Caenorhabditis elegans: one gene and its partner. The protein of the gene in region 1 interacts with the protein of each later gene in a biochemical or structural test. Each region holds a gene or a part of one and is shown in the gene's direction. Other genes may lie near its edges.

The links.
Region 2: the proteins of tkr-1 (region 1) and nlp-58 interact in a test that uses a peptide from one of them, tested with the Caenorhabditis elegans proteins (one large-scale study listed by BioGRID).

Annotation. Positions count from the first base shown.
Region 1 is NC_003281.10:9,376,314-9,393,899, forward strand, and holds tkr-1 (putative G-protein coupled receptor tkr-1), read left to right. Parts: upstream 1-7,482; 5' UTR 7,483-7,487; coding exon 7,488-7,606; intron 7,607-7,809; exon of another isoform or gene 7,810-7,858; coding exon of another isoform or gene 7,859-8,042; intron 8,043-8,093; coding exon of another isoform or gene 8,094-8,180; intron 8,181-8,224; coding exon of another isoform or gene 8,225-8,741; intron 8,742-9,118; coding exon of another isoform or gene 9,119-9,207; intron 9,208-9,255; coding exon of another isoform or gene 9,256-9,284; exon of another isoform or gene 9,285-9,330; intron 9,331-9,495; coding exon 9,496-9,795; intron 9,796-9,860; coding exon 9,861-9,984; intron 9,985-10,045; coding exon 10,046-10,125; intron 10,126-10,171; coding exon 10,172-10,319; intron 10,320-10,739; coding exon 10,740-10,930; intron 10,931-10,983; coding exon 10,984-11,162; intron 11,163-11,212; coding exon 11,213-11,292; 3' UTR 11,293-11,391; downstream 11,392-17,586. Other genes in the region: C38C10.3 (uncharacterized protein), read right to left, coding at 7,859-8,042, 8,094-8,180, 8,225-8,741, 9,119-9,207, 9,256-9,284; putative transporter slc-17.2, read right to left, coding at 11,520-11,702, 11,754-11,936, 11,985-12,176, 12,230-12,940, 13,013-13,200, 13,695-13,719; gpr-2 (G-protein regulator 2), read right to left, coding at 15,096-15,316, 15,369-15,976, 16,027-16,527, 16,581-16,828. UniProt on the Caenorhabditis elegans protein: Not known. Putative receptor.
Region 2 is NC_003283.11:9,939,175-9,955,447, reverse strand, and holds nlp-58 (Neuropeptide-Like Protein), read left to right. Parts: upstream 1-6,507; 5' UTR 6,508-6,562; coding exon 6,563-6,649; intron 6,650-8,609; coding exon 8,610-8,807; 3' UTR 8,808-8,864; intron 8,865-8,933; 3' UTR 8,934-9,127; downstream 9,128-16,273. Other genes in the region: mam-5 (MAM domain-containing protein), read right to left, coding at 1-1,178, 1,230-1,390, 1,823-1,944, 1,988-2,049, 2,262-2,417, 2,624-2,678; ttr-46 (Transthyretin-like protein 46), read right to left, coding at 3,393-3,565, 3,631-3,712, 3,762-3,901, 4,069-4,213; sre-28 (Serpentine Receptor, class E (Epsilon)), read right to left, coding at 9,553-9,757, 9,802-9,926, 9,974-10,096, 10,283-10,439, 10,583-11,055; fipr-12 (FIP (Fungus-Induced Protein) Related), read right to left, coding at 11,836-12,046, 12,096-12,109.

The DNA of each region.
Region 1 (17,586 bases):
TAAATTTAATTTAATTTTCGAATTTATTGGCGTAGAGGTTGTTAGAACATTTTAGCAACTATTCATCCATTTTACCGATGTGGTCCCTACTGAGAATTTCCAGATCCGTACTAAACTGTTTTCAGCTTTTTGCACAGGCCAGACTAAAACCAAATCAGAGATTTCAAAGCGAACTCCCTCATCCAAGTCTTTTTAACTCAAGCTTATTTCTAGAGAAAAAAATTTGTAAAAAATTGACTGCAAACGCCGAGCTATCCGATTCAAGTTTTATTAAAGTTATAGACTCACCTCACGCGTAAAATCTTACCGAATTGTTAATAAGTTACAAGCAAAGCGAAGTTATTTGATTTCAAAGTTTAGTTAGTCATCGAATATAAAATTCGTGCGTACACTGATCGCGGGAAGCGAGCTCTCCAACTTTTTCCGAAATTCTATTATAATCGCAGACGTATTAATAATTCAATTTTGACCCCACCCTGCTTTTTTTGATTCCGTAAAAGACGTCAAAGGTGTGGCTCCGTGGATCCTGATTTATTTTTGTCTGTATTCAATATATTCCTTTAGGGATGATGTTCGTTTTCTTTTTTTGCCGGAAATAGTTGGTTGAATACCAAAAAACATTACGTTGTTTTCCGTGCTTTGGGTATTGTTGTTTTCGATTTAGTTTTCATTTTAGCCCTATTTTCTTTCAACTTTAAAACAAGAGTAGAGATCTGGAATAAAACTACCATGTTTTATGATGAGAAAACTTATCGAAAACTTTTTTAGGGCGGTTCAAATTTTCGAAAAAAAAATCAAAATCAATCTGGCAATTATTTTGATTTTTGTCAATTTGTTCTTGTCGTAACGGACCGAAATTAACTTTTATTCAATCATTCTCGTTTTGCATATTTTAGAATTTTGACGTATTTACATCAATTAAGACACAATTTAGCCAAATGGTATATATATTTAAAAAATTTGAGTTCTTTCCAACTGAAAATACATGTATACATTAACCAACTTGAAGTCTCGGAACAAACGACCTAATTGTTAAAAATAGAGTACCTTTTTTTTAAACTGAAAAGGCCACTACGACATGGAACCGTTGGAAAAATTTACTTTTTTTCTCGAAAATTTGCTATACAGAGGCCCGAAGCGGCATGAGACACGCGGCCGAGCCTGCAGGGAAGACATAATTCAAACCCCCTTAAACTCTAACCCTCATTTTGATAATGTCTCGGTCTTTGAAATTTATGAGAAATTTTTGATCTTAAACTGAAATTGAAACGTGGTGTGAAAAACAAATCCAGGAAATTCCTAATAAACCAAAATGCTAATAACAGAAGGAAAAGGTTGTTTTTTTCGCTGAATCTCACTTGTTCGACCACTAAACACTTTGTTGTTGGTCCGTGTTTTGCACTCCCGTATTCCCACGTGGAATTTCAATGAGCACATCCTTTTATTTTTTCCGTCGATCATACATCGAATTTTTCATCGTGGTGTGATCCGTTTTAAAAGTAGGTGTGGAAAAATTCAAAGAGATTAAAAAGCTCGTCTGTGCTTGTTCTTATTAACTGCAGCAAAAAAAACAACAGAAAAGTGACATGAAATTAATTTTTCCTTTCTTTCAATCCACCCCCATCGTCATATGTGCCTATATATTTAGTGTCAGAATCAAATTAGTATGTGTATGTGCATCTTATTTTTCGGAGATTCACGACTTCCGCCCCTGTTTGAAATATGTGAATCGGAAGATCATGCTCTCTGATCTCATTTTTAGTCTGAAATCAGTCAGGTGTGAATCTGAAGAATGAGTTTTTAGTATTCCAATTGATGGAATGAGATATGGATTTTTTTATTTCTTTATTCTTTTATGATTCTCCCCTTGTACTAGTACTATTGGTTAGATTTTTTAAAGTTTTCACTCTAGTTTTGAGAATAGACAGGAAGTTAATATTTTATGAATTCGTTGATTTTTCTAAATTTTAAATTATTTTTATACAATCAAAATTTAGTGGAACTACAATAAATATAATTGTTCAAATTTACGGTTTTATCTTTGCCGGTGAAGCGCGATTGCACTCATTTAAGTTTGATTAACACTATTTGGCAAGAATGATCCCTTGGAATTTATACTCCAATTAATTGCCCGCCTTCTTTTCAAACCCTCTTCATCTTCTAGTACATTTATTCCAATCGCTGAAATGAGTTTGTTTGGGGAGATATATCCTCCCTTTTTCCCTTTTTATGACTCTCTTGTACTATCAAAAAGATTTCTCTCAAGTTGAGTGACACCGGATTTCCATCCCTTTTTCCTTGTTATTCTTGTCACACGAATCCGTCCGTCCCCTCAAGATTGTTTTCTTGTTGTATCCAAGCCACGTCATATGCACATTGTTTTTTTTTGGAGCATTCTAAAAAACTGTCGAATACTTGACATATCACCCTGTTTTTGTCTGACGAGGGGATCGAAATTCACCGAAATTTCTTATGCGTTTTTTGGAAATTAGTGAAATTTTTGGTCTACTACACTATTCTTCGTATTGTGTGTGTATTTGTGCCGTTTACAGCGACTTTTAAGAGAAGTTATGCGGGTTGGTCTCTAATTCATTCGAAAGAAAAATAAACTTTCTGATTATGCGTCTTTGAGATTACTGTAGAACATTTTCCGAGGTGATAAAACTTAAAAAACTTTTAACTTCAAAACTCTGTGGCTTTTAAAAATTCCTGTCAAGGGCTCGAATTGTTTTCTATCAATCAAATTATGCTCGGCTAGTGCTCACTTCTGACAACTTTTTTTCTCAGATTTTTAATTTTTCGGGTGTTTTCAATTTTTGGTTTTTTTTGGTGTTCTCTGTATATATATATTCATCAATGTTTTAACTAATAAGTTTCGTGATGATTAGTTTGTTTTTTTTTTCGAATTTTTAAACATTGGCGGCTCTGACGGCTTATTCGATGTTTTTAGGTTGTGTTAGAAACAGTAATCGTAAGTTCCGGGTTACAATATCTGTAATTTTCAGATTTCTTGATTCCGGTGAATTTTTAAAAAATTTTCAGTTCGTAATCTAAGGATTTTGTCTAAATATGTACACTTATAATAATCCAAAATAACCGAAAAAAATTCAGGTAAAAAAAATTTCTTGAAAATTCTAGTAAATTGGCAAAAAAGTATTGGCCTTTCTTTGACAGCAAATAAAAAAAGTTTTTTTTTTAATTTCAAGCTTTTATTTGGGAAAGGTTAAAAAAATTCTCTACCTTCAACACGTTTTTTAAATGTTCAATTCAAAAAGTTTGTGGTCAAAAGTTCGAAAGTTCAAGTTTCCAAACTTCTCCATTCTAATTGACATTATAAGGCATTTGATATGAACCTTTTTTGAGTAAGCTCAATGTTTTCAGTACTAAATATCCTTGAAACATTCGGAAATTTAGACGAGTACACATATTTGCCGTATGAGATCTAATTGGACCGCCTGGGGCCATCACATTCCAATTGGAAACCAATTGATTCAAAAAGAGTTTCCATTTTTCTCACCCACAGTTGTTTGGTCTTTTGAATTCATAAAATATGGCTCTATTCTTGGAAAAGGGCGGAAAAAGAAAGATCTTGATTATAATAAAGAGTTTTTGGAACTCGAGGTTTCAAATTATGAATTGAAATAATTACGTAGAAGAAATTCAAAATTAGAATCCTCGCTTCCTATTTTCAACGGAAACTGAAACCCCTGTTGGATCAAAATAATAATAATATATTCATTGGGTTTGTAATCAAAATGGTAATTCTGTGTATAATTTCCACTGAATTTTCACTAATTATTTTTTGGAATTTTTCATTTCTTTGTTTTAGAGCATGGCAAATATTATGATTCGGTGTCCGGGAAAATTTATTTTCTGTTCGAAGTAAAAAAATTTTGAAAGTACATCCAACGGGATCTAGGAAAACAAAATTATGGTGTTTTGGTAGTAGCTTTTGGAAAAATATTTATGAACTTTGTTGTAATTTTCGAAAAGGGTGAACTTTGGAATTCGTGCAGAAATTTTCTGTGAATATATAATAAGTTTATTCAATAAGTAATTTGGAAAATCGTAGTAAATAGCCTATTTTCGTGAGGCCTAAAAAATTCTGAAAATTCATTTATCCGGAAAAGAACTCCAGAACAAGGGCAGATCTTTGTGGGAGGTTCGAAAAAAGGCGGTGAAAAATATGGCCACACCCACAGAATTGGTTCAAGTACTGGTTTTGTTGGCGTGGCTGTTGACTTTGAGCATCAAAAATTTCAAGATACTTGTGAGGAACATGTTATGGATATGTCGTCTGAATCTGGTAGTTTTCCAGTTATTACTTAACGTATTTTCTTTATTATTGCACCCCATTCTTAAACTTTGTCAGCTTATATCTTACAATTAGTTACATTTATTTTATTTTTCTACCGTTTTAAAGTTATATTGAAATGATATTTTCAAAATATACCGAGATATAACCTATCAAAATGAATAGCAAAGCAATCAAGCAGTTTTTATTGTATTTTTCATATCTCTATAATTCCAACCAACTTAACTTTATTTTAGTCTCTTATTCTATAAGTTATGCATAATGTCTCGTATTTCGCGTTCCCCTTACTCCTTGTAAGTTTCCTATTTCTAACACTTCTAAGAAGCACGAGAAATGGTCCGAACAAGAAAAAGAATGCTCATCTTTTCAGTCGTTGTGTCCATTGTGCCGTTGTTCGTCGTTGTTCTTCGAACTATCCTCTTCTTCTTCTGTATTTAAAATTTCGAGAATATTTGTACCTATCTACGTACGTGACAAAGAAAATGTTTGAGATCACTCCTGCGCTTTAAGATGTAGCTTTTATCATTGGAAAAAGTATATTATTAATGAAGACCTAAAAATGACAGCAGAGGAGCACTTTGAATTTTGAATATTCAAAACCACTTTCGATCTTTGTTTTTCGTGGAAAAAATCTGGAATTTTTTAAACCCAACTCAATTTAAAAAAACATGCAGTGTTCCCAAATTCACAAAACATACTAAATTTAGAAGATCAACTTTCCCAAAACTTTCCTCGCAAGTTGCATTTTTTAAACCTGTATTTAGTGAAGAAACAACTTTTAATAAGCGAGTATAACAGCTAATTTTTTCAAAGAATTTGTGATTCTTAGATTTTTTTTTCCAGTGTTTTTTGCAGTGTTAGTTGTGTACCTGCTCGATGAAACACGATTCAGCTTCTTTCAAATATTTCATTTCAGATTTTTTTTTCGCCGTTTTCCCCTAAATACCCTTTATCAGCCCCACCTGGGTCCCATTTATTTTGTTCCAATTTGTTTTTCCTTTAAATTCGTTTTTTTTTCTTTCTCTTCCTTTTTCAGAAACAACGACAGCATTCCTCTCTTTGTCACATTCTTGTTTTGATACCAGAAGAGGATATAATATAACCAATAATTATGAGATACGGACTCTGAATCCGCTTTTTCTTTTCTCATCTGCTTCTCTATGTAAATTCTCGGCTCCACCACCACCACCGTCGTCCTTTGTCTAACTTTCTGAAAACTATTTTAGAAAAACTAAAGATTGACAGAACGACGATGGAGGCGGAAATGAGAGAATAATGAATCAGGCTCCACCTCCAAATATCCGTCTTTTCGAACCTAATGAATTAGAGTACTCTTCTGTTGGATCTATGTGATGTCACAGATCTCATTACAACTTCCTTTTGACATTTGATCACTTTTTTGACCGGCAAGGAAGAATATTTTTAAATCAATCATAGGATCTGTTACAATTGTAGTTTGAAGTCTGTGTTTTAGTTAAATTTTAAGGGTACTATAGAAGTGTAGAATCTCAATTTTGAAAATGTCTTGGTTTTTTCTGGAAAAGCTTCATAAGCTTCTGGTCTCTTTTGAAAGGTTCCGCAAATTTCTGAATATTGGAGAAAAACTCTAGGAAATTTCGGAAGTGTTCTGAGAAGCTCTGGAAACTTTCATAAACTTCCATTTAGTTTGAGTTTTTGTATAATTGGTAAAAATGACAAACCTTCCGTCTGCAAAACTTTTTGAAACGCCTAAGAAATTACAGAAAAGCGTCTAAATTATCTGAGTTCAGATATTTTCAAATTTACTAGTACAAGTTGGAGAGCTCTCAGTTTTTCAGACAAATATGCTTTCAATTCGTAGTAAATTCTACCTATTTACGTCATTTTTGGAGCGTGCTGTTGAAATGTGTTTTTTTTTCTCTCTGCCTTTTTTATTTATTCAATTCAAAATGAATTCTGATACAAAAAAAATTCATAGAACTTCAGAAAATTGAAATTCCTACAGAGTCATGTTGGACTTGTTTTTTTCTGAAATTTAAGTACTATTATTTCGTTTTCCACCAGCTAAACTTAAGCGGTTACTGAAAAGTATCCGTATTTTTTAAAGTTAAATTCAGTTTTCACAACACTTGGAGCAGATTTTAATCAAAATAAATTTGAAAATGTTTCTGGTAGAACACCTAATAATGTTTTATCTCTGGACACATGTCTAAAACGGCCTTCGCCTGCCTTGTGCCTACCCCACATTAAAAAAAAATAGAATCGCAAACACTGCGCAGTACGTTCTTTCAATTCACCTAAGCTTCTACTTTGCTGTCAAATTCGTTTACCAGAAAAATGCAAATTAGAAATTCTCAAATCTACATAGGCAGTCCCATAGACAGGCAGGTATGATGTGTGCCTAGTGACCTGACTGTATTCCATAAAAAGCATTAGGATAAAGAATATAGAACTACAACCACTTCGGATCACTAAGTTATAACGTGACATGAATCTATTTTCGTTTATGCTGCACTTATCAGACCTCCCCCCGAGGTTCTAAATTGTTTTTTTTCACTTACTTTTTTTATTTTGACTTCTGAAATCTTATATAACTTGTCGCATATTTTTCAGTGGCACTATGGAAAGTTGCCGGACTATTTGACATTTAAAATGAACTCTCGAGACAAATTTGAATGTACCCATATTGTCTGTCTCAAAACAAAAGTTATTTCTGAATAATTTCTACGATTCATGAAAACAATCATTTTATCAAATTAGGTTTCATTTTCTCCCTATTAATCAATTTTGTTTTTCTTCGACTTGCAATTTTCTCAGCCCAGTTCTCAAAATTTTGCTGACTTCATTCGCTTGACTTCTTGGTATTCCAAGAGGAGAACCTATTCCTGAATTCGTGATTCAAGGCTCAGTTTGTTGAATTATTTGTGGTTACAACCTTCCCCTTCTCAGCCGCCGCCACAATCACCAAATTCTGAGCATAGACACCAAACACCTTGCTCTTCATCATCTCACCTTTCTGCAAACATTTGAGCTTTTCACAAATTCTTTGTTTTAAAACCCTTATAATTCAATTTCCCCTATTTGCAAAATTTCCGTATTCATTTCCTTTATATAACTTTGCTTTTTTCAGACTCTTTTTTATTTTCAAACTATTTTCAAGCTTTCAAATAGTATATAAATAATTTCAGACGCAATGAATCAAGAATTCTTAATTCAACTTGGCGAGCGTGCGTGTAAAAATGCTGAAAATCTTACTCTCCCTGCTGAACTCGAGGGAATATTCTTCTGTGCTCCAAGTTCCAGAGAATCATTGTAAGTACATAGAATAACTTAGTCTTACATCATATCTGTTACTTGTTTGATCACTAGCCCTATTGAAATGTCTAAAAGATTCAGTGAGCCCTGGTCAGATATTTGAATTCTTAAAATGTTTCTGACGTCTGACATGAAAACTACATCCTTGATGAGTTAAGGTAAAAACAACGTTCTTTGACATTTATTGTTTTTGAAAAAAACAATCATCACAAAATCTTCATTCACATATTCACTGTAGTTCCCATAGTCTCACTTCAACTTCATATTCTTCTCAGTAACATCCACAATGATTGACAATTGAGCAATCGATTGTGTAGTAGCCAATTGAGCCAAAGTCTTGCTCATGTCATTTGCTGAGACTGGCTTGGAATCCGAGTAGTTGAGCTCTCCGATACAATACGACAGACGAGGATTGAAGTTTTGATCAAGAAGTCTGAAATTTCTATAAAAATCAGATTTAAAAACCCAGAAAATAAAAACTTACTGGCGACAACAGAGTTGATGGAAGTTGATAACAACTTCTTCCAAACGACAGTCCGAGGGAAACTCGTCAGTAAACATGGACTGAGCACTGAAAAAGTAATTTATACAACTTTTCACTAACTTCTAGCAAACCGTCTTTGGAGTACATCACAATGAAGAAGCAGAAACTTGACATTAACCATTGTAACGTATCTAGCAGATCCTGTCGTATGTCCCGATAAGTATGTATAAGTCGGAAGACTTTTCTTAGAAGAAGCATCAGACATGGATGAAGAAGAAGTATTCGATTGAACAATCACCTTCTTTGGATCTTCCGTAGAAAGTGCAGATGGCTTCATTACCGACGGAAGAGTAAAATACTGATTCGATTGTTGAATATTTCCGACTTTCAAATCACTCTCCGAAGAACTCGACGGTCTGGCCAGAGTACGTCTTTTCCTCTCGCTCGATGTAGTACTACTGATCTGACTGACAAGACCGGATGAATTCTTGACAGCAATATGTGGTCCTGCAGTCATCTTGTTCAGATCCTTCGGCTTTTGGTTCTCCTTTTGAACGGGTTCCACGTTTTTCTGATATTTGTTGTAAGATGTCGGAGATTCCAGTGGTTCACGTGAAAGGACGATGGTGTATGAGTGAAGAGTTCCATCTGAAATAGTTTAAAGGTTTGAGTGGAGAGAAGTGGGAATGCTAACAGGAACGTAAATAGACATCACTTTTTGCTCTTTCATTTTATTTACATGTCCAACTGAACCTATATCATATAACGAGAGGTAAGCCTGAAAGCCAAGCGCTAATTTTCCTATTTCGAAATTAGGCATTTATCTTTGGTATATATTATCACGACAGAAAGCCTACACCCAAATTTATAAACCGGAAAACCTAAGCCTACTTTTTCAAGCTTGAAACCCCAAATCTAAGGAACGGAAGCAAATTTCGAATTTACAAAAATCATGAGCAATTAGCGTTGTCATTTTACGAATCACTGGGCTGTTTTCTAGCACATTCTCAGACCTGATAACTTACCGTTAGAAGTTTCAATATTATGCTTATGTGTCGAATATTGATAACTCTTATCATTGATTAGCTTCAATGCAGGAGGAAGATTCTCTTGACTGAAAACAATCAATTATGTACAGCAATGAGAGATTTCAAGAGCTTACCCCATGTAATTGGTCATGGTCGAATCCATAACTTTTCCTTATCGCTGCAATTGAATCGGAAACAAATTGAAAACTGAATCGAAAACTCTGGGGGATGATTATTTTTTATCTTTACGTGTAGGTTCAAATAAAATATTTTTTAATTGAGTACATATTACGTATTTATTGATTTATTTAACAACAATATGTTTTAATTAAATAAATAATTGAAATTTAGAAATCCAATAAAAATAATTTCAGAGCAACTCAAGTATTTGTGGCAATTGCATTTGTCCTTCTGATGGCAACTGCAATAATTGGAAACTCTGTCGTGATGTGGATAATTTATCAACACAAAGTAATGCACTACGGCTTCAACTATTTTCTTTTCAATATGGCATTCGCTGATCTTTTGATTGCTCTCTTCAATGTTGGTACTTCATGGACCTATAATTTATACTATGACTGGTGGTATGGTGATCTATGTACACTTACTTCCTTCTTCGGTATTGCACCAACTACCGTATCCGTGTGCTCAATGATGGCTCTCAGCTGGGATAGGTAGGTTCTTTTGAAATTTTTGAGTTTATTTCCCTTTGCACAAAGATCATTAGTCAAAATTTCAGATGTCAAGCAGTCGTGAATCCTCTACAAAAACGTCCACTATCTCGAAAAAGATCCGTCATTGCTATTCTCATCATTTGGGTTGTTTCAACGGTTACTGCACTTCCGTTTGCAATTGCTGCATCTGTAAGTTCATCTATTCAAAGCAAATTAGAATTTATCATTATTCTTCTTCTTCTTTTTTCAGGTCAACTCTCTCTACACATATGACGTGGTTACATCAACTGTTTCAAAAGCTCACGTTTGTTCAGCACCAGTTAATACTTTGTAAGAGATCTGAAGTCGAATTGGGAATGAATTTAATTTTTTTCAGCTTTGAAAAAGTGCTCTTTGGGATTCAATATGCTCTACCTATAATCATTTTGGGATCAACGTTCACACGGATTGCCGTTGCATTTCGAGCAACAAATGAAGCCACTGACAGTAGTCTGAAGAACAATCACACACGCGCAAAGAGCAAGGTATATTTCCTAACTGAAAAAATACGGTTCCCGGTCTCGACACGACACATATTAGTTTAACGCAAAAAGGCGTGCGCCTTTAAACAGTACTGTAATTTGAAACTATCATTGCTGCTGAGTTTTCATAGATTTTTTGAAAAGTATTTCGTTTTTTTAAACTATCAAAAAATCAATGAAAATCCGGAGCAACAAAAGTATTGAATTACAGTACTCTTTAAATACGCACACCCTTTGCACTTAACAGAAATATGTCGTGTCGAGACCTGGTACCGTATTCTTGCCGCAAGAATTGGAAAATGTTGCGTCCAGGTAATAGTAAGTGTTAGAATACGGAAAAATCGATCAAAATCTGAAATTCTTTGAACCCACATGTTTAAAATGAACCATCATTTGGGAAATAATTAATTTTAAATTCTTTAGGCAGTAAAAATGCTCTTCCTAATGGTCGTTGCATTCGTTGTCTGCTGGCTTCCATACCACATTTATCACGCATTCGCTCTTGAAGAATTCTTCGATGCAGCTCGTGGAAAATATGCGTATTTGTTGATTTACTGGATTGCAATGTCTAGTTGTGCATACAATCCAATTATTTATTGTTTTGCCAACGAAAGGTAGCACTAATGAATATCATTAAAAAATGTTAATTATTTGTAAAAATGTTCAGATTCCGCATTGGCTTCCGGTACGTCTTCCGATGGATTCCAGTGATTGACTGCAAAAAGGAACAATATGAATATTCACAATTATTCCCGGATAAAATGAGAAGTATGGCTATTTCTTTGCAAAAAGGAAGAGTGAACTCTTCCTGTTTGGATAAAAAAGTCAAAGAGAATTCTTCTCAAGGTTTGTAAAATAATCTCTCAATACAAACATCTGATATTCTACACTTCCAGATTTGGTTTGTGTGATGCATTCCGAGAAAAATACGAAGAAATATTCAAAAGTACATCTTCTGAGTTGCCATGAACGGTGATTGAAACGTGTTTATTTTTTGCTGAATCATAGCTTATGATATTTTTGTATATCAACGTTTGTAACTTTGGATAAAATCTTAATAAATACTGAAACGAAAGTGAAATCTTTGGTAGTGGTACAAAAAAATAAAGCTCGATTGGTTTCAAAGACATATAATGATGCAGGTTGTAATAAAACAAGAGCCTAAATAGAACAGAGAGAGATTAAAATATTTAAAAATGATGATTAGGCGGTTGCCAATTCAATCTTTTCTCCTTCTCTAAGTGGAGCCATCTCATGGCCTTCTTCGGCGGTCAGCTTAGCCCATGGTTGTACTTCTCCAGATGCAAAGATTGAGAACAACAGAGCTCCAATTGTCAAAATTCCAGCAGTCAACCATAGAACCATTTGCCATTCTTCTTGAGTACCCTAAAATTGGCATTTGAAACTTGAATGTTTGTTCTAATTTTCTTATCTTACATTAGGTGTCAAGTAGCTGCTGACAGCTGGTGAAATGATACCAGCAAGTGCGGAGATAGTATTTCCAGTTCCCATCACTGTTCCAGAGAATGGTGGGGCGATTTCGAGGTAGTTCACGACAAATCCAGCATACTGAAGGCCAGAAATAGCCATACCGCAGGTAATGAAGATTATGACGAGGACCTGAAACCAAGATATTGAAATTTATCATTTAAAATAATTTTAGCTTACATCTTGTCCACATCCACAGTAACCTGAAGCCACGAGGAAAATTCCCTGTCCGATGAGAGCAACCAGCATAGCAGCTCTTCTGGTGTTCAATGTTGAGAGGATTCCCTTTGATCGTAGTGTGTCAGCAAGGACTCCACCTGCATTAATAGCCAAAAAGTATGCAATGTATGGAATGGAAGCAACGGCGCCAAGCTGAAAAATGAATAAATATTATGAACCTTTTTTTATTTCAGCATTGAACTTACAGATGAAAGATTCAATCCAAGGACATCCTTTAAGAATGATGGAAGAGATACAAGCATCGTGTATGCTCCCCAATCACCGGCAAAATGTCCAGCCCAGCAAGCCCATACTGCAGGAGAAGTTAGAATTTTGATCCATGGAGTTGATGGCACTTTTCCAGTATCTTTTCCCATTGAAGCCTCGACGGCTGTTACGATGTATTGTTTTTCTTCAGGTGTAATTCGAGGATGGGTAGCTGGTTTGTCAGAGCTAACATACCACCAAACAGCAGTCCAGAGAACACCGAAAACTCCAATGATGTAGAAGATCGACGGCCAGCCACCATCAAATCCGTACTCGCAGAGGAATCCAGAGAGTGGAAGTACAATTACATTTCCGATTTGAGCGCCAGCATATGTAACTCCAGTTAAGACAGATAATTCCAGAGGTGGTCCCCATACAGACCACATTGTGTGCATTGCAGGGAATGTTGCTCCTTGAAGAAATCCGATTGCGGCACGAAGAATAGCCAGAGCATATTCAGATGTTCTGGCAGCGACAGGATTTAGCAGTGTAAGGAGCGCAGATCCAAGAATCGTCACGAATACTACTCGCTTTCCTCCGTAACGTGAAGCTAGATGTCCTCCGATAATTTGACTTCCAATGTATCCATAGAAAAACGATGAAAGAACCATTCCAGTTGTTTGCTTGTCCCAATCGAATTCTCCAATCACCTAAAAAAAGTTGCATGATTCTTTATCATTCGGTTTTCAAATTGTTTTTTTTCATCACTGAATAAACCCTACCGAGCTGTTGCTCTCCACAGGTGTCATTTCCTTTCCACAACGAGAGACCTTCTCCACTCCTGTGTCCGTCTTATTCTCATTAACCATACAAACAACTGCGAACGACATATTCGTACGCATCATGTAGGTGACAAGACATCCAAAAAACATGACCAAGGACAACGCAAAACGCGTGGATGGCACCAGCCCTGCAAAAAAGCGTTTAATCATTTATCTTTTCTTCTTTTTTTTTCTTTTATGAACTTTTTTCGGTTTTCTTCTGGTATCTGTTACACTCTCCGAAAGTCGATCATTAATAAATCATTCGTCTGCAAACTTCAGAACAGTTTGGAGAGTCACGACCAAACTATCAATTTCGGGTGCCTGTCAGGGCTAAATAACATTTAATCTTGTTAAAATTTTTGAAAAGGCTTCGAATAGTACCTGAAAGTTGCAATTTACCGAAAAATTGTTTTAAAAACTATTAACGGCAAACGGCAACTTTCAGGTGCCATTTGAGATTTTTCTCAAGCTTTTCAACAAAATTAAATATTATTTTCGGATGGAAATAACTTTTTATACATTTTAATTTGCCGCACAGATCCGGTGTATGTGTTCAAAATTTTAAATTGTATTTGGTCTTCATAGTTTCTACGTTTTTTCCAAAAAAAACTAAGTGGTTTTTACTTTACGATCAACTCACTCGGTTTGGTAGTAGCCCCTTCCATAATTATTGGCTCGTCGTCGAGAGCTTCTCACTATTTTTCGTATATCGACGAATCCGCTGGGAACCGACTGACAGCCTGAAAACAAAAAATCAGAAAATTCAAGTGATAACAAAAATAATTGAAATATGTTCCTCGATCAAACATATAATGTGGTGAAGAAGATAAGAAATGCGGCAACGTAAAGGAAGAGCCGCCCAAGCGGCAGGCCAACTCAAGAGCTCTCAGGACTAATTGAAATTCGTTGAAAATCGGATTTCACTACTTGGACAACAAGAGGGTGAAACTCAGATGACGTTGTTTGAGATAACTGCTTCTCGCTAAAACAGAATAAGAAGAAAAAACAGAAGGCGCGGTGAGACACATGAGAAACAGAGGGCGGTTATTTGGAGCACGGCTAGCGCGCAAAAGTGATGCAATGTGATGAAGCTGGTAGAAAAATGGAATAACAGAAAGGGAATTTTATAATTGGAAAAAATCACCATACTTTCGTGAAAATATTAAGAGATTTGTGTAAAGTGCCTGACCAGTTAATAATATTTACAATGTTGGGTAAAGAGCGTAGGCATAATTCAAAGAGCACCGCCTCCAAATTACATGTTTTCAGTGGAATCACGCGTTTATATTTACCTAAAACAAATTTTCTTTTAAGCTGACCGATTACCACACTTCTTATACTCCGAAATTTCGTGTTTCTATTGATAAGACGGTCAGCGAAAATGACCAAATATGATGGGAAGAGCATTTTCCCATCAAGATTCTGATATTTTTTGAAAGAAAAGTATTTATAGAAGGAAAAGACTAACGCAATTGAATGAAAAAATAAAGAAAAGTGTGTCAGAGAAAAGAAAAGGTAACCCGATACGACAGTTTTAAGAATTGCAAACTTTACGCCCTCCAATGTCGGAGATTTGAGCGTTCAAAAAAATTGTTCACGTATTTCAAGTAATATCATATTTAGCCGCTCAAAAGTATTTTTAATAGGAGAAAAAACATAAATCATTTCGGGTCTAGGTTTCGCCTAAAAACTGAAGAATACGAAAGGATGCAGGAGAATGGCGCTCGTTCCCTCGGACGCTGGCAGTCTCCATCTCTCTGCGTCTCTTTACTTTCGATATCTTCCGGATTCCGAGGTCACTAACCATGAGCTTTTGAAATGACGTTGGGAGGGCACGTGGGGAAGTTCAGAGAGAATAACAAAGTTCTATAAAAGTATGACTTGACGGATATCGCTAATTGAAAAAAATTAGCTTTACTGACCATCAAATAAAATAAAATTATAATAAAGAACAACCACTAAAATAATAATAACATTTACTTAAAGAAAGTAAAAAATAAATAAAGTTTGATTGTATTATTTGACAGAAAAAATAATGGTCCTATTTGGACGTCATTGTCACATCATCGCTTCGAGTATCATCGCCCTGTATCGAATTTGTAGAATCCAATGACGATTTGCTTTTCTTCGACCTCTTCAGGATCCTATTCATTGTGTGACCATCGAACTTCATCGACTGCACTTTTGTCCAATTGGCACGGAGTCCAGGGAGAATTCTGTGGCTCTTTGTAGTCTTTTTCGATGCCGATGACACTGGACGAGCTGGAAAAATATAAATTTGCATACATTTACGCTTATTTGTAATATTTCTTACGCGGAATGAATCTGGCAGCAGACAGTTCAGTTCTCTGATCATCCATACGCGAGCTCATACTGAAAATGAGATCCATCATGTCTACGGGTTCCTCGTTCTCTTTCTTTTCGATCGCTACTGGTTTCTTCTGGTCTTCAATGATTCCGTTGACAATCATTTCCCAGGTTTCAACATTTGTTGCGTGCTCCAGTTTGACGACGAACTTATTAATCATGTCATTCGAGGATGTCGGATCAGGAGACGAATCAATTGCGAGGCATGCATCTTGATCAGTTGCCGTTTCGCTTCTCTCTTGATTCATCGCCACGTCGATCTGCTCGTAGAACAGTTTGAAACTGCTTTGGTTGATGGTCAGAACACTCCCCAAGATGATAAAATAAGCAGCTTGGCGTCTTTTTCCAAGTGCAATGAGACACTTTGCGATTGTAAGCAACACATCTCCAATGTGTTCGTTCAATCCAAGCTTCCGAATCGATACAAGCGCTTCCAATCCGTAGAGATATGCTTCGTGGAATTCGCCATTTCTCAGCATCTCTTCGGATAGCTTCGACTTATATTTGACTACATCTCGCTCTTTTCCGAATTTCGTGGCGTAGAAGAGAGCACTTCTGTAAAAATAGAATTGACATTTTTATTAATCGTTAAAACTAAAAATTACCTGAGATCTCTGATAATAAAGAAAAGAAGATATGTCTCAGCATAGAGAGCCTTGTCGTAATAGGCGATGTGAACTGCTTCAAACTGGTCTGTTTTGATGGCAAAATCGATGCATTCTTGATACTTGCGACGCGATTCCTCGTATTTTTCGTCGAGTGACAAGCATTTCGCCTCAATTAGCATAATTTTGGTCTCAGACACAGCTCCTTCCGTATTATTCTCGTTGAACAATTTCACGGCTGCAATCTGTTCAGCACATATTGACAAAAGCTTCTTCTTCTCATCTTGATTACTCTCGACGTCTCTTTCACATCCTTCGAGGCACACGGAAGCGAACAAAATTCGAGCTTGACCGATATACTTCTCTCCGTTCTTCTTATTGCTGGTGTAATCAATGAGATCCTCAGCAAACCGTCGAGCCTTGGAGAACTTTTCCATTTTGAGTGCCTGCTGGACGATGCGACGTGTGGAATCACATGCTTCTGGGTAGTTGAAGATCAATCTGAAAAATTAAAGTTATAGAATGCCCAGCCCATTTCCGTTTAATTCACTTACTTGAACATGTTCAACTCATGTTCGAAAAACTCCAAGGCCTTGGCGTCGTGGTTCAAATGCCTGCACACTCTTCCGTAATACATGTAGATTGTACCAAGCAGTTGAAAATTGGAGGTTCCGAACTCCATTGTGTCCTCTAAGCGTCCTTTTCCATCCTCGTATTGTCCCAATTTCATGGCCGTCACCGCGCTTTTCAGCATTGCTTCGATGACTTCATCCTTAGGGCCATCATAATAAGAGACGTCCATTCGTTTTGCGAATGTGGAAACTTCTGAAATAAATCGAAAATTGCGAGCAAAAATAAAAAAATAGAGGAATTTTACGCAAACAGACAAAAATTTCACGCGGATCTGCACGAATACACGAAATATTTAAAACGGGGAAAGTTTCTTCAAATATCTCACGAGGTTTAATAGACTATTACACATTTTGTTTAAAATTTTACAATTTTTCAATAAAACAACCGCTGAAAAACAAATAAACTTGAACAATGACTCGAGAATCTCTGTGGGGAAGTGAAACTTGGCGGTTAACGCGTTGTTTTTTCGCGCGCTCTCAACTTCTAATTTAGCGCCGCTTTCTGATATGTCGTCAAATGTGTTGCCGATGTACGCAAGTACACCATCACGCGCATTTGCACACTCAGTGGAGTTTGCAAACAAATTTTCAAAAATAAATTAAATACTGTTTATTGTTTAATTTTATGCATATTTGTACAATTTGAATGTTATAGTTTGATTAAAACTATTCGAAACATGTAAATAAACTTTAAATTTGTAAATGTGTCGCTTCCCAGACCGTATATTGTGTATTCTTCAAATAAATATGTATTTCGCAGAAACTGTCTTCCCAACTCCGAGCCGCACTGGCGGATAATTCGCCGGCTGCTCCAATATCACCGGCTCCATCTGGCTCGGCCTTGTCACTCGATGAGTCGTCTGGAATTTCAGACCGCGATGTACATTCTTCTCAGGAACAAACGGCACATCTCTCCGAAGTCGATGTA
Region 2 (16,273 bases), on another chromosome or scaffold:
AACTATTGGTGGTGGCAGAAGCCTCACATCATTATTTTCCATTGGCAATCCCAATGTTCTTCTCATCAATCTCTCCATAAATTGCGTTTTCAATCGACCAAATCCACCAGGTTTTCGAATATCTGACAAATCCATTCCTTTAGTCAATCCATCTAAATCTGGAATATTTCTCAATGATGTCAGATCTTGTACAGCTCCAGATGGTAAGAGTTTAGCTATATCAGCTAACTTTCCTGCTACCTCTGCTTCACCAGAAGATGGTTGTTTGAAAATTATCAGTTCGGTGGATGATGGAGGTAGGGTGGATGGAGTTGTTGTGCTTACTTTGAAAAGATTCTTGTGATATTCTTCGATATTTTCAACAGGTGTAGATGGTGTTGATGACGGAATCTTTTTAATCGGATTAATATTTATTTTCTTCTTATTCATCAAGTTGGGGGGATATATTGATCCTTCTGGGAACTTGTTTGGTAGCCCAAAACTATTTGTGTTGTCTGTATTTCGAGCAATAGGAGGGTGAGTTGTAGTCAAATATGGCGAGCTTTCTTCCCATAATCCGAACTTTTTGGCAAGATCTACTAACGTTTTCTGGTTTTCTTGATCATTATCAGTGACTAATGTTGGTTGATTGGTGTTGTAGAAATGAGAAGAAGCCACTGGACTTCTTCTCACATCAATTGGAGCTGGATTTGATGGTAGTGTCCCAGGCGGTAAAATATTCTCAGATGGAGAAGATCTCGGATCCAATGCAGTTAAAGATCTAACTAGAGTTGGGATATACGGAATAACTGGAGCTGTTTGCTTCAAGAAATTGACAAAATTAGCAAATTGCTGCTCATTTGATATTGTCGAAGTTTGATTAGAAGATGAAGTTTGTGTAGTTGTCGGCGGAGTCGTTGTTGTACTTGGTTCGCTACTTGTTGTAGTAGTTAAAACTTGTGCTGTAGTAGTTGGGGCAGTTGTACTACTCAAAATTGATATCTTAGCTTCAAGTTCTAAGGGAATATCAGTTGTAGTTGTAGTTGTTGAAGTACTACTAGCAATTGAAGTATTCAATTTATCTGCACCATCCTGAGCGACAATTAGCATCAACTCTCCGTTGTATAAATTAGAAGATCGGTAAGATTGCCAATCGTGGTAACCAATTCGTCGAATTTCACGTCGATTACGACCGTACCCTAAATAGTGGGCAACAGAAAAATCAATAAATTAAACATTCAGATACTAACCGCAAAGTGTTGCCTCGAATACAATATTATCCAGAGCAATGACCGAGCTTGGTGGAGAATATATAGTTTTGAAAACAATTTCGAAGGGTTGAGCAATTGGGGGAAGTTCAACGGCACGGAATATCCATTGTTTCCCAAAGGTGGAAACTCCATCGTAGCATCTAAATAATTATGAATTAACCGTAAAATATTATCAATTTACTATACTTTTTACTATAGTTACTATACTTACTATTTTACTACTGATTTACTACTAACTACTACTAGCTACTAATAATTTACTAATCTGCTATACGCTGTTCTTTAGGTGAACTGTTGCAATGATCAAAAGATGAAGATATTTTAACACTTATTATTAGCACTGTCTACTTTATTTTTAGATTCAGTTCAATCAAATAGAAAAGATACTTTTTGGTAAATACTCCAACAAAAAATAACGAAATTTGTGATAGCACATGACAGAAAACCAAGAAAACAAACAAAAAATGATCTAGTCTATTACATATTTTGAATCCAATACAAAGTTTATAGTGCACAGAACTGATGAAACTTCGGAGTTATTTCAAATTAAAAGTAAAACAATTGGTTCTCACCTCATCTGGCTCAAGTCTTTATTTCCTGGAGGCTGACGGATACAAACTTCTAGTTGTGAATCCAAACCAGTTTTGTAATACCAGTATTTTAAACTTGCACCTCCAAGTTGACAGGTTATTACCTAAAACGCTATAGCTTTTTGGAAAATATATCACAAAATATACCTCGGAAACGAGAAGAGCCATCATTCGTCCCATCAATCCCGCAGTAAATGCAAATGGTTTCGCTGAAATTGTCTTAATTGCCAATGTTAATTTTATGATCCTGATGAGAAATCACTTTTTAAAAAAAAGAAGTAAAATCAGAATTAGTAAAGGAAGACTTTCGTGTAATTCATTAATATCTAATTCTTGAGCTCAATTTTTTGCAATGAATGACAATTCTTAGAAGGTAATCTTTTCTAGAAGACAAATATCATGAGAAAGTATGAAGACTTACGATTATTTTCATCAATGGGCATTATTCGGTTTTGAGCATCGGCTTCAAGAAGCGAAGTCGTTTCAAAATGTCCACCAACATCGGATGAGTTTCTCCAACGACAAGTTGTCGTAAAGTCACAATTCAAGTCAGAAGAGGATGAGATTTCAGTGTAAACTGAAAAAAAAAAACTATGATGGTCATTTATGCTACGAATTTTTAGTCTTGCATACCATGGCTCTACGTCATTTTGAGAATATTTTTTCTGTGGAAAATATTTGATAAAATTAAAGAAAATATTCAACCGAGAACTGTCAAAGTAGATCAATTGGAAATGCAAGAATAAAAGAAAGATTACGGTTTATATTAATTCACAAAAGTACCTGGATATATCAGAAACAATAACAATAATATCCATTTCACATTTAAAAGATCCATACCCAAGTAGCTGGTATGAGAGAGGTAGTAGAATATTAGCTGAAGCTGGCCGGACAAAAGATCGGTGACCTATAAGAAAGTGGACAAACTGGAATCGCATCGCTGTCTCGTGGACTCTAATTACCCGTTGGAAACGAACAGTAAGAGAAAGTTGAGCGATGAGCGGAGAAAGAAAGGTAATTGAGAGAATATGGTGACAGAAAGACAATTGAAAGGATATTGGTAGGTGAAAGGGGATATGACAATTTCACAGAAATACAATGTTTCGGGAAGAAAGAGGAGGTTGCGTGAAGTGTGAAATCTGCATGCGAGGACTTGTCATGAAATGCATAGGATACTGCAATAAGTTCAAATTGAAATCTGTATCTTAAATTCAATAAAAATATCATTATTAATTTTCCAATAAAAATGTATGTTTCATTTTTGTAGTCGTTGAACTTGGTTAAAAATACATTGGCTAACGATTCACAAATTCCTTTTACAGTTTTCGAAATGTACTTTTCATAGAAATATTCAAAAGCAATAACCCCCATCCAGCTTGCAAATACAATGTTATCTATCTTTCTATTATAATAATCTTATCCACTTTTATAAAACAATAATTTTATTATCATAATATCATATTGTTTTCAGTTAAAGAAAATAAATGAAGCCCAATGATTTTCAGATATTATCTGAAACCCTTGTGTGCAGTATTGAGAAAATGATTAATGTCTAGAAAGTTTCCACAGTCTTTTCTTTATCTTCTGATTCTTCACTGCTTTTGCTTTGATCCTTCTCAGAGTTATCTGGATCCATATAATCGGCATTGAAACCCCCTCGGCGACGTCTGGATACAAGAAGCTCACGCTCTTCCTTAGCAAAAACTGTTTCGAGGTTGAGCACTCCTGAAGAAAGTGAATGACGCATGTGAAATCACTCAACCATATTGCTTTCTGACACTTTCACTCACCGATGTCAAACGTTTTCTTGGCCACTTTTCCGCTAGTGATGTAGCTTTTCGGAAGTGCGAGTTTGACCTTGCGAGCACCTGGCTGCAACAACATTCAAAGTTATTTTTGCTCAAAAACTTCAAACACCCACCTTGAGCTTCGAATCATCACATTTGTGGTACACTTTGAATACTGGATCAATTGGAGTCAACTCAGCAGTACCTCCTTGAAGACTAAATTCACCATTAGCATCGGTATAACCTTGGTCAAGGAGATCATCCGGGTCTGGTCCTGAAATAGAATTGATTGACCATAAAATATTCGACGGAATGGTTCTTCTCTAACTAAATTTTGATACTGAAAGAGTCAATCAACAAGTAACTTTGGATAGTTTGATAGCACTTTCAAGAAAAACCACAATTGTCGTACATTAAGGAAAACGATTAAAAATGCCTTACCAGTATCCTCTTCCCATAACTTGACACGAACATTGGCTGCTGGTCCATTCCCACACAGAAGGCGTCCCTTTACTGCAATCGACTGATCACGCATGGCTGCGGTAAGCCCGAGAAGGGCAATCAGTAAGACGAACAACTTGTTCATCCCTGAAACAGTGAAAATTAGAAAATTGAATTTATAAGGCAAGAAATCAACGAGAAGGAAAATAATAATGCTTTTGAAGTTTTGGAAGTTTTTGAGCGATGTTGACGACTGGGCTCTTATCATAGATGGACAATAAGTCTTATCAAAATTGAATTTAATGTACGAAAAATCGGAGTCTCGGTTTGTCTGTTTTATTATGTTTTTTTCCTCTCCGCCCATCAACCATTTTCTCAAAAGATCATTGGGTACTCACAGGGACACATTACTCGGGAATGTATTAGACAACAGTTGCTGTGTTTTGATGAGTCATTTCAGTAAAAGTCAGTGTAATCTCAAAGTATAATAAAATCAAATAAAGTTAATCCAATATTCTTAGTTAAAAAAATAGCAGTGAATTAGAATTAATATTTCCGCTTTTGACATTCCGTCGTTGCCGTTTTTCCTTGAAAATATTCATTTAGTGAAATCAATCAGTGCTGTGTTGTTTTTGGTTTTATCATAGTTTGAGACTGAATTTTGATTACTGAAAGTGCTTAACATAAAACAAAATATTTTCAAAAAGATGAACAGTATTTTATTGGCTTCGTTATTAGTAATGATATCATTCTCTCTGTATTGGTCTATGGAAATGCAGGGTTTGATTCTTATAAAATAAATTCTTCAAATTTCACACTGAACATTACGGCTCATAAAATTTCAGTTATTCGTTGGGACTGCTGAATTAACAAAAATTGAGCCAATTCTAAAAGTTGCTCATAATTTTAATGTTTCGGGGGAAGTGAGTCTAACTTTATATTGTCTAAAGATTTGTCAAACATCTTGAAAATTACAAGGTCTCCGAAAAAACTTTTCAATAATTTCCGGATTTTAAATAAATTTCAAGAAATGAAGATAACTAAATATTTTTGTTCAGCAGTCTAGATGACGTGAGGACAGGAAATGAAAACATTTATACCTTTTTAAAAGTGCAAAAAGATTTATGGTCGTTGAACCTTTTAGTCTGGTTCCAGTGTTTAGCTTTCAAAAAATGTCAAATTTCAAATATGAAACCTAGGTGAGCTAAAATTCAACTATTCCGAAAACACACCAACTTTCATTCATAGACAATAAAATGAATACGAAGGATTAAGCAATCAATCAACAACCACTGTGCTCAAATCATTCTCAAAATTTTAAGTGCTCGCTAAGACACATTGGAAAAATTCAAATCCTTAGAAAAAACAAACGAAAAAGGGAAATAAAACCCATGAAAACAGAACGAGAACTAAATAATTTTGAATTCCTGTCTGAAAATGGTGTACGGTGGTAAAAAAATTTAGGTTGGCACATCATTGCCTTCCTGCTTACTACTCTAGTGCCTGCCTCGTGCCTACGAGTACCTACTGCCAAAGCACTAAAGCGCAATCAAATACGGAAAATACGAAGGTAGTCAAGCAGGTAAGCAGAGGACAGGTACCTATTCAGGATGGCGTGACTACTTATTATCAACCATGGAAATCGTTGTAATTTCTTAGTTTAGTAGGATAGATATTTCATTTTCTCTTTTCGGTTCAAGTTCTTCAGGATTTCTATATCATCATTGTGCCAATTTCCTTTATTTTTATTCCAAGTAACATTTTATTATTTAAAAGATCATCGGCATTCAAAAAAACAAAAATAAATATAGTTTTTCTCGCGGGGATGCCCCATCCATAAGTGCTCGTCGGTTTGCCGCAACTTCTCAATCAACTTATCAAGGCCAAGTTGGTTAAAGTTGGGTATGGCCAAAAATTCACTTTCAAAAACCGCCGAAATTTGACTGAACTTGGTTAAGAAATTTCTTGTACGTTGAGGTGTTGCGATGTGTTGTCGAGTGCGCGCCCGTTTCAGAGAACTCATCAATTAAATTATCTTAATTCAAATAACTAAGAAGTTACTATCACATTTTTATATTAGTTTTTTCAAATTGTGATGGTCACTTTAAAGCATTGACAGACACATTTTCCTTAGCTCTACTATAAGAGATTTTATAAAAACAAAGATTATTCTTAAATCTTAGATAAAAATTTTGAAGGTAACTGTTGTGTATGTTCCTTGACGTCAGTATAAAGATCAAATTAGGAAGTGTGCCCATCGGAAACAACAAATGATAATTAATGCTATGATATCAAACCTTTTAGCCTTTCATTCACCTCCTTCATTCAAGTAATCCCAAGTTCTTCCTGGCCTTTTTAAGCCTCGCCCCTAAAAAACTGCTCGCAGAAAGTGGGCGGGGCTATGTTGATGAAGAATAGAGTCTCCTTCTCCTACTTCTCACTTTTTGTGGACGTCGTCTTTTCCTCCGACGCCTTCTTCCATTCATCTGCCGTCATGATCTCCAAATGTTCTGTGATGGGTCTTCTTCTGTTATTGTTCGTACACATCACCACAGCACAATTCGAAACACACTTTGACGATGTAAGTTATTTGAATGATTTGGCCTAGAAGTTGAGAAGTCCTTCGGGATTTACTGTAACATTCGCAAAAAAACTTGCCGACAAACACTCAATCTTTTCTATTTTTTCTTATATTCTCGAAAAAAAAGTGCGTACATTGAAAATGAAAAAGCATTTATCAAATCCGAAACGAATCGGGCGATGATGGACGATGGCTGAACGATGTAGTCATAGGAAAGTCTAATAACTTAAAATATTTTTAGAGATCATATAAAAGTGATCAATGGAACATTGAAAGAAAAAATCACAAAAGAAACGCTAGAAAATAGATTTCTGAATGATAGCAAATTTTGCAGTATGTAAATTGAAAATATCACTAATTAAGATATTTCCTATTTCATTACAATATGAAATTCAATTGATTCAACTTATATATAATTTGACTTTTTTCAAAAAGTGGAAACATAAAAATTAAAACAAAAATGTTAAATTTAAATAAAAAATGCTCATCAAATTTAAAACCTCAAATGCAAGCTTGCACATTACGTGATTCATAACTTTTCACTTAATAGTCTCCTAGGAGATACTAGAACTCGAATAGTTAACTAAACTTTTCTTTTTGTTTTGAGAATGTCTGTAACTCTGATTCTGGAAAATAACAAGTGAATAATTTAATAAAACTGCAATTCAATTTGTCAGATTTTTACAGGCTCAGTCAATTTGTTAGGTGTATTCAAACGTTTTTTTCTCAGAAAATTGAGTACCATGAAATTTTATTTTCTAATGGCTATAAAGTAAATATGTAGTGCAAATTATGAAAATCAAACCAATCCTTGTAGTTCAATTAAATCGACATCCTAGGCATAAAGCACATATTACAAACATTATCAGTATTCTTTGTTCTTTTGTTTAAAAAGGTCTCACACTGCCGGGTTTCCCTAATTTCCTTTTTCTTCATTTCCTTATTTTATCTTAATGGTCTACATGTCTGAAAAAAACATCCTGTTAGTCATAAAACGTGATTATTTTGAAGGGTTTCTTTCAATTCGTCAGTTGAATTTCTGACCTCTTTGAAATAAAATAAATAAAATATAGGACCAGTTTGCAGAGAGAGTTTAATTAAAATTTCAATTATCAATACTATATAAGTATAATTGCATTGTAATTTGTTTATTGCATTGTTCATTGCATGTTTTCCTAAACTATCAAAACTTCAATTTTGCATTCAAGCATTGAAAACATCAAATTATGAATTATTCATGACTCTATAATAACTTAAAGTCTAACTTTTTTAATTCATACTCCCAGACACCACCTTCAATAATATTCAATAAGTTGAAAGATTTGATTTTCCATTCTCCTCCTATTTATTGTATTTGCTTCTTGATATTCTCCTGAGGGACCAAAAAATTAGATAAAGTGCTACTGACTTTTGTAGGTGCACACAAGCGGAACCGGAAATTTCCTTCAACCCGGTTTACGCTCCAATTGTGAAATGTATAAATTTCGTTTTTCTGCTTTGAAGCACTTTAGGATTTGGGGGCGGTTTGGAGCTTTTTCGGGAATGAGGGAGGTCTAGAAAAACCTTCGTCAATATAGGAAATTGAAAATTTTTGAAAAAATGCAGCAAGAATTCAATATTATGAAAAATTACATGCAATGTAATTCATTACTTGTTGATTCTTTTTATTAAAAAAACTCTAAAAATATGATTTGACAAAAACGTTTTCCTATTTACGTTTTCTTCTGAACCTTATTGCAACAAATAAGAATAAAAATGATTTCATTTTTACTTCCGGATCAGAAATTTATCAGATAACATAACTTATTTGAACATTTTCAAAGTAAAATTAACTTCGGAGGTGATGTTTTTAGCATTTCTTCTCCTTGCCAACTTTTAATAGTAAACTTTTAGCGCACGCGTAAAGTCAAAAAGTAAATCTAGTGAAGCAGTAATAAACTGTATAGTATCCAAATTACAGGCACAAGTATACTGGCCTTCTCAATACAAACGAAGTGGACCATCATCAGCTTCTGAAGGTGAAGCTTACGCATTCCCGGGCCTTCGTGGTTTACGCGGAAAGAGGGATCCAACTTATCACAAACGAGTGCCAATGATGTCTTTGAAAGGACTTCGGGGTAAACGTGCACGTATCTTTGATGGACAAGAGGAACAATAAAAATAAATAGAACAATATCAACCAGCAAAGGAGGAATTTCTGTATTTTGTGCTTGTGGTAAGTTTGAAATTGTATTGTTTGTTCGTATTGTTATACTTTTTAAGATAAAATAATTTCAATTTTCAGATTAACTTACCATCACGTTGAAATGTGTGCTCTGATTCCAACCGGCTCTTAAATTTTTTTTATTGTCTCCCGTACTCTTTTCGTTTTTTTTCTAGTTTGAATGATTGCATTCTTGTATCATTCTCATCATGACCCAATCATTCACAAAAATTCTTTATTTCATAACTCTGAAAATGAAGTCATCTGAGTTGTTGTTTGATGTTTCAAGTACTTCTTCAAAAGCACCATTTATGCAAATTGTTCCTGTTTAGTCGGCTTGGGAAGACAAAGGAGAAAAATAAGGTGACGGGAAAAAGTGTCCTTTATTGACATTTTAGAAGGGAGCTTTTTATAGTTTTTTTTTGGTTGTTTACTTGTCAACCAAACATGAAATTGATGGATGGTGTAGTGAAGTTTACATGTTTTTTGTCGCCGGTGAATACATTTATATAACTTTGGTGTGCACCCATCTGTTATGATATGAAGTACAGTACAGTGCTCGCAACAAATAAAATCACAAAATTATATTCGTGTTTAATTGTTCTTTAAAATTGGTATTCATTAAACAAGTGTATTTCTACTTTCATTTACACTTTGATGAATCGCTGGAAAAATTAAAAGAATAAATATTGATTAACATTTAAACCCAAGAGTCATTGAGCATTTTGAAGTAAGTTTGAGTTTCAATTTCAGTATTCTTTCTTGAATCCGCGATTGACAGAACTGTTGCTATCTTCACTTTTTTGGCAATTCCAAAATACCGACAACACGGAAAATATTTTGTAAATTCATTTCTCCACGCATGAGTGCTGTACATTGTGACTGTGCATATAAGGAATGGATTTCTGAAAAAATTAAAGGTGGATGTATTGTAATATAAAAATCTCACAGGTAAATGCAGTTTTCAACAAAATGACATAAAAATGGTGGAACCACTTCAAGAATGAGCGCAATAATCCCAACACCACAAACAACTACAGTCACAATAACTGATATAACCAATCTCCTGCCAACCTGAAAAGAAGATTATAACTGATTTCAAAAATGAAATTTGAATTTACTCGTAGAGCACGTAAATTCTCCTTCACTTGAAATCTTTGGGAAATAGTGAAGAACTTTTTTCGTCTCGGGCTTTCCATTTCACATTGCCAGTCGTTATTTATTTTCTTGATGACAAGATGAAGCTGGAAATAGTAGCCAGAATTTGTTGAAATGTTATCTACTCAATCTTTTTTTATTTTATTTTCTTCTCTTTTAAAAAATACCATCAAACTATTGTAGAAGACAATTTTTAAAATACACGAATGCAGTTTTTTTAGCAAAAAGTATTCAAACTTTCCAACGTCAAAAATTACTCACTATCAACTTACAATTACTGATATTGCTCCAGTGAATATCCAAAAACCATTGAATGCGAGTATTCCAATTATTTCAAAAAGATTTCCCAATGCAACAGTAATTGAAAAAAATTGTGTTATTGCAATGAGTACAACAGGAATCCAAATTTGTGTACTTTTTTCGTAATTGCTGAAAAATTAGTTTCAAATCTCTTTTTCTGACAAATTAACGCTTTTCCGTGTGTGAAATTATTAAAAACGTTTTAGAATTATGTTAATTACTTGTTATAATTATAGAGTACATTAATTTACAATTTAATACTTGAAACTTACTCTATCAACATTGAAGCAAATATTCTTTCAATACAAATTGCAAGAATACCAAAAAGCATTGAAAATATGTAATGCCACTGAATAAAACCAGACAAAATCAACATTTCAAGTCCATTGATAGATTTGACAACTAACATTTTTTCAGTATCAGCTGTATATAAAGCAAAAAAATATATTTCATGATCGATAACTTTCAATATTTTTAAATTATACAGCATTACAATCATTTTCCCAATAATAGCCTCGTACCAAAGTCCAAACATTGGAATTGATAAAATTATAAAATTATAATGAAACAATTGTATTTTGAGGTACACTTTGAGGCAAACGCTGTTAATATAAAAAGCGAAAAAATAAAAAATAAGTTCAGTTATTGAAACTATAATTCTCACAATATCGGGTTCATTGTAAAGATAAACAGGTAACCAGAAATAAGAAGAATCCGTTGGAGTTTTCTCCAATTTTAAAATCATGTCTTGGGTTGAATAATGAACAAGAAAAACTTTATGAAGAATAAAGACAATCTTTGATTTTCACCTGCTCTCCTGTTTTTTTTTGGTATCAGAATTTTTGATGTGAATGCCAGCGGGACGATTTTTGAATTTCAGCAGAACGGAGCGATTTTATCACGTCATGATATGAAAACCCTCGGTCACCCTTATACAATAAATAAAGATTATTTCCTCGAAATTGTTCTCATTTTAAGTAAAGAAGCCCCTTTCAAGGTCATTGCTGGCAAGTTTCAGAAAGATCTAACTTGACAAATCAAAAATAAATTGTTGGCCGAGCTTTTACATTTTTTAGGCCACGTAGCTAAAGACGCTCTGTGAGTGTGTGAGCAAACTTTTACAAACCCATGTCATTTAAAAAAGTAGATTAAATAGCTAGGCATATTTTCGTCGAATTGAATAGCTGCAAAAAGTTAGGATTTTACGCAAGTTCTGTGATTTTTTGACTTCGAAAGTGGCAAAGACTTTTACTGAAAAAATTCAGATCGACTCTTTTCTTTGTTCGAAAAGCTCCTCTGTTGTTAATTTTCTGTTGAACCTATATAATATATGCAAATATTTCTCAAAAATTATAGATTTATATTCCATTAAGCAGGTGGTTCTCGCTGTTGATCAGTCAAAAAATGTTCAGATTTGTGACCTTTTACGGTTTCGTACTCAAACTATTATAAATTTTCATTTAAGAAGCAAACTAAAAATGTTGTTTATCCATTTATTGTGGTTGAAAGATAGAGAAACACAGAATTATTTGGTTTGCTGAGTTGGGCCAAATCCAGCTTCTCTCTTTCCATAATATCCATATTCCCCGTATCCATAAGCTCCACCATAGTATCCATTATATGCTCCGGGACCATATCCTCCATAGTATGTTGGGTAATATGAAGAGTAACCATAGTATTGAGCACTTGTTTCTTGAACAATTGAGCACATGGCAAAAGCCAATACACAGAGAAGGCTGAAAATTGGTTGCATTGAAAGTTATAAAATTATTGAAAACTACTTACAATTTAGCGTTCATTTTTAAAATAATCAGAAGAATAGACGAGTTCTTAATTTGAACAAAGGAGAACAGACCTTTTTATACTACTGCCTAACTATTTGCTTTAGTTTTACCATTTTTCGGGCAGAAAGTGTCAAAGTTGGTTGACTTACTGTTCAAGAATCAATTTACATTTAGATATTTGCAGCTCATAATCATTCAAATGAGTCAATGATGAGAACAAATTGGAATGGCAAAATGAAATAAAGTTCCGAAATTAATCAAACTTATTTTCCAACTTCAGGACTCTTGTGTTCTTGCCAACCTCGGCCTCCGGTAGAATTCTAGTTTATATTTAAATCTCTAGGGTCAGCTCACATGATTTTAAAACAGAAAACTAAAAACTATAGGTGTATTGTTTTCACATCATCATTTCTCATTTCATTCCATCATCAAAATGTACATAAACTGGGCTCATCACTATATTCCAAAAATCTTTGCTTCCTTTGCATTTATAATAAATCCAATTTTTGTGTATTTGCTGTTTACGGAAAAATCAAACAAGTTTGGCCATTATCGATATCTTCTGCTATTTTTTGCACTATTCAACATATTCTACTCCATTGTGACCATAGTCGTACCAATAGTAATGTCTTTTTTTCACAACTTCTTCCTTTGCTCTTCATAGTTCTTTCTAAGATCAATTTTCCCAAAAACTGAAAATCGTCAAAACTTCCAGGACATACACACCAGGGGTGTGCGGCAAATTTGCCGAATTTGCCGAATTTGCCGAGCACGGCAAATTTCAAAAAAGTAGATTTGCCGAATTTGCCGAGCTCGGCAAATTTCGAAATTTGCCGCACACGTCAAAAATTTGACAGTACAATTTTGACTAAAACTGTTGATTTTTTCGCCAAAAATTTAGTAAAATGACAACAAATTGAGTTATTTTGATGTTTAAGCAGACACACTACACCTAACTTGTTCAGAAACCAGAGGTGTGTTAAGAATTCAGTAGTTTTGATGCTCCAAAAAATATCAAAAAATATATAATTTTTCCGAGTTTGTTAAGCACGGCAAATTTGCCGAATTTGCCGAATTTGCCGAGCTCGGCAAATTTTGAGATTTGCCGCACACCCCTGCTTCATACCACAACAGATTGAACCAATTATCTTGTTTCTAGGAAGCATCAGACGACGTTATCATAAGATCTTGGATAGCAGTTGCAGGAATTTCATTATTTTCTATTGATTTATATGCAATCTTCGGCTTTTTGGTTAGTTAAATCCTGAAGTAATTTAATTCAATTCTGATTATTTAGACAATGAGCAAACTGACCGAAAACACGTTACATATGAGTAAAACCACAACAACCATTCAAAAAGCTCTTCTTAAAGCTTTAATTGTCCAGACAATTATACCGATTTTTGTCATTTTTTCCCCATGTATTCTTTGTTGGTTCAGTCCAATTTTCAACATTAATCTTGGAAGGTAAATCAAGATATCCGGATTCATTTGGCTATAATTTAAATATTACAGAGGATTTAACTATCTTGAAGTATTGGCACTTTCAGCATTTCCATTTTTTGATCCATTGGCCATTATTCTCTGTCTTCCTCCACTCCGGAAACGTGTTCTCTTCAAAAAATCAAAGACAAATATTACTAAAAATTGTGCTCTCAATTGATTTTTAACTGACGAAAACTTAATCAATGATTCCATTGTTAATCTTTTCTTGAAATTTCAAACTTAAAAATGGATACGTTCATCCAAGCAATTAATTTTATAACAAGTCTAGTCAGTTCCAGGCTCCGTTGGGGATTTATGAGTTTCAACTTTTACAAGATCTGGGATGTTCAGAAGACAACAATGAATTATGTATCTTCAGAAAATTCCTTCCCTTCGCAGGAAATAAACCCCCCCCCCCCCCCACATACATAGATACAAATTTAACAGAACATATTAGGGGTGTCAATAAGTTCCGGGTCAAAACTCGTAACTTTTTCCGTGGCTTGTATTTTTTTGATCTTCGAAAAAAATTTTTTTTTTGAACGAATATTTTTTTAAATATTTATTCTATTCTTACATTGTATACTTAATTTATCAAAATACACACATTAGTCTCAAAAAAAAAAAAAGAAGCGAGATCGGGCAGATGCCTGAAAAAAGTGACTCCGAGCTAGGATACATGGGGTGTTTTAATGTATTGTCAAATGAAAAACCATGTTTGATAACATAAATTCCCACATTTTCAGAAAAATTGATTTGCCACGAAAAAAATTATGAATTTTGAACCGGAACTTATTGACACCCCTAATAGGACCCACGGGGCCAATTAAGTTACGTTTGAATAAAATCGTTTTCTGTTTGTGGATTACTGCAATAACAAAACCGGATGCTATACTAAATTGAAACCTTTAAGGAAAATACTGAGAGCATATAAAAAGAAGCGAGTTCTTTTATTCTTACTTACCTGACAGTTTATCTCTGTAATGTATATTAACTGGGCTCATCATTACATTCCGAAATGTTTTGCATTTCTTGCTTTCATTGTAAATCCAATATTTGTTTTCTTGATATTCACAGAAAAAAAACAAATTTGGCAATTATCGTTACCTTTTGCTATATTTTGCAACATTAGACATTTGTTACTCAGTATTTACCGTAGTTGTACCAGTGGTGAGTAGGTAATTTAAATATTCTTAACTTAAATAATATTTTGTAGGACATTCACACATATCAATACTCTTTCACTATATTCATAAGTGATGGATGGTTTTACGAATCATCTACTCTTGGAATTGATATGATTGGTTCAAGAGTTGGCATGATTTCTGAATGTTATGCAGTACTTTTAAGTCATTTCATTTATCGATATCTTGTCATTCGAAACAGTTTTGTTACAAAAAATTTTAAAAAATATTTCCTATTGACCATTCTTCTGTTTTTATTTTATTTCACATTCTGGAAATTGGTAACAAAACTCGTGAAACTTCATTTTAAAAACAGTTTTCATTTATCACAAACATGTGCGTGGGTGAATCCGGAAATGAAATTTTGTTTACAAGGAAACTTTTTTGAAGTTTATGGAGAGAATACAATCAATGTCAATATGTTTGGAATGATTTATAATGTAAACTGCATAATATTATTTATTACTTACTTACTTACTTAGATACTTAGACGATCCGTTCTTCAGGAATTCGTGGTATTCCTGCGGATCACAGCAAGCCATTGTTTTCGGTCCTTGGCTATAGTGGACCAGGGGGTGATGACTTCTCCGTCTGCGTCACGAGTGGTGATCTCCTTTCGCAGCGAATCAGTCCATCGCATCGGCGGCCTTCCAACAGGCCTTTTCCATCCATATGGGCGCCATTCTGTCATCAACGTGGTCCATCTTCCGTCTTTCCTTCTCGCAACGTGTCCAGCCCATCCTAGCTTCCTCTTTTTCACGAAATTGAGCGGATCCCTGACTAGAGACAACGTACGAATGTCTTCTCGATGGAGATCTCGCTCTCGTTGTTGGGTGAGTGTTATCCCAACAAGCCGTCTTTCTAGGGAGGCATGTGTGATTCGTACTCGTTCGGATAGAGCTTTGGTGAATGTCCAGGCTTCTGAACCGTAGGTGAGAGCGGGAAGGACGATTGAATCGAATAGATTCGCACGAATCTTCTTGTCGGTGATGGAGTCGGTGGTGTTCTTGATTCCATTGAATGCAGCCCAGGCTGCTCGACGTCTTCGGTGGATTTCCGGCATCAAGTTGTTTTGGGCGTTGATTTGACGACCGAGGTAGATGTACTCGTCGACGTCGTCGAGCTGGGTGGTGGGGGAAGGGCTACCGAAGTAGACTTTACTGGGGTCAGCGAATCGGTTTCGCAAGACTTTCGTCTTCCCAGTATTGATCTCGAGACCTACTTCAGAGCATTTTTGTACGAGTTCTTGGAGCATTTTGCTTGCAGTATTCGGATGATTGGCGATGAGCACAATATCGTCAGCAAATCTAAGGTTCGTTAGATTTCTGCCATTCACTCTCATTCCAGGGATCGTATCGTAATCCTCAGCTTCTCCTTTCAATTCAATCCAGGAAAGCTTTCGGAAAACGTGTTCGAGGCAAGCGGAGAAGAGATTCGGAGAGATGGGATCTCCTTGTCGAACTCCTTTGGTCACTGGTACTGTGACTGGCCTGTGGAATGGGGCAAAATT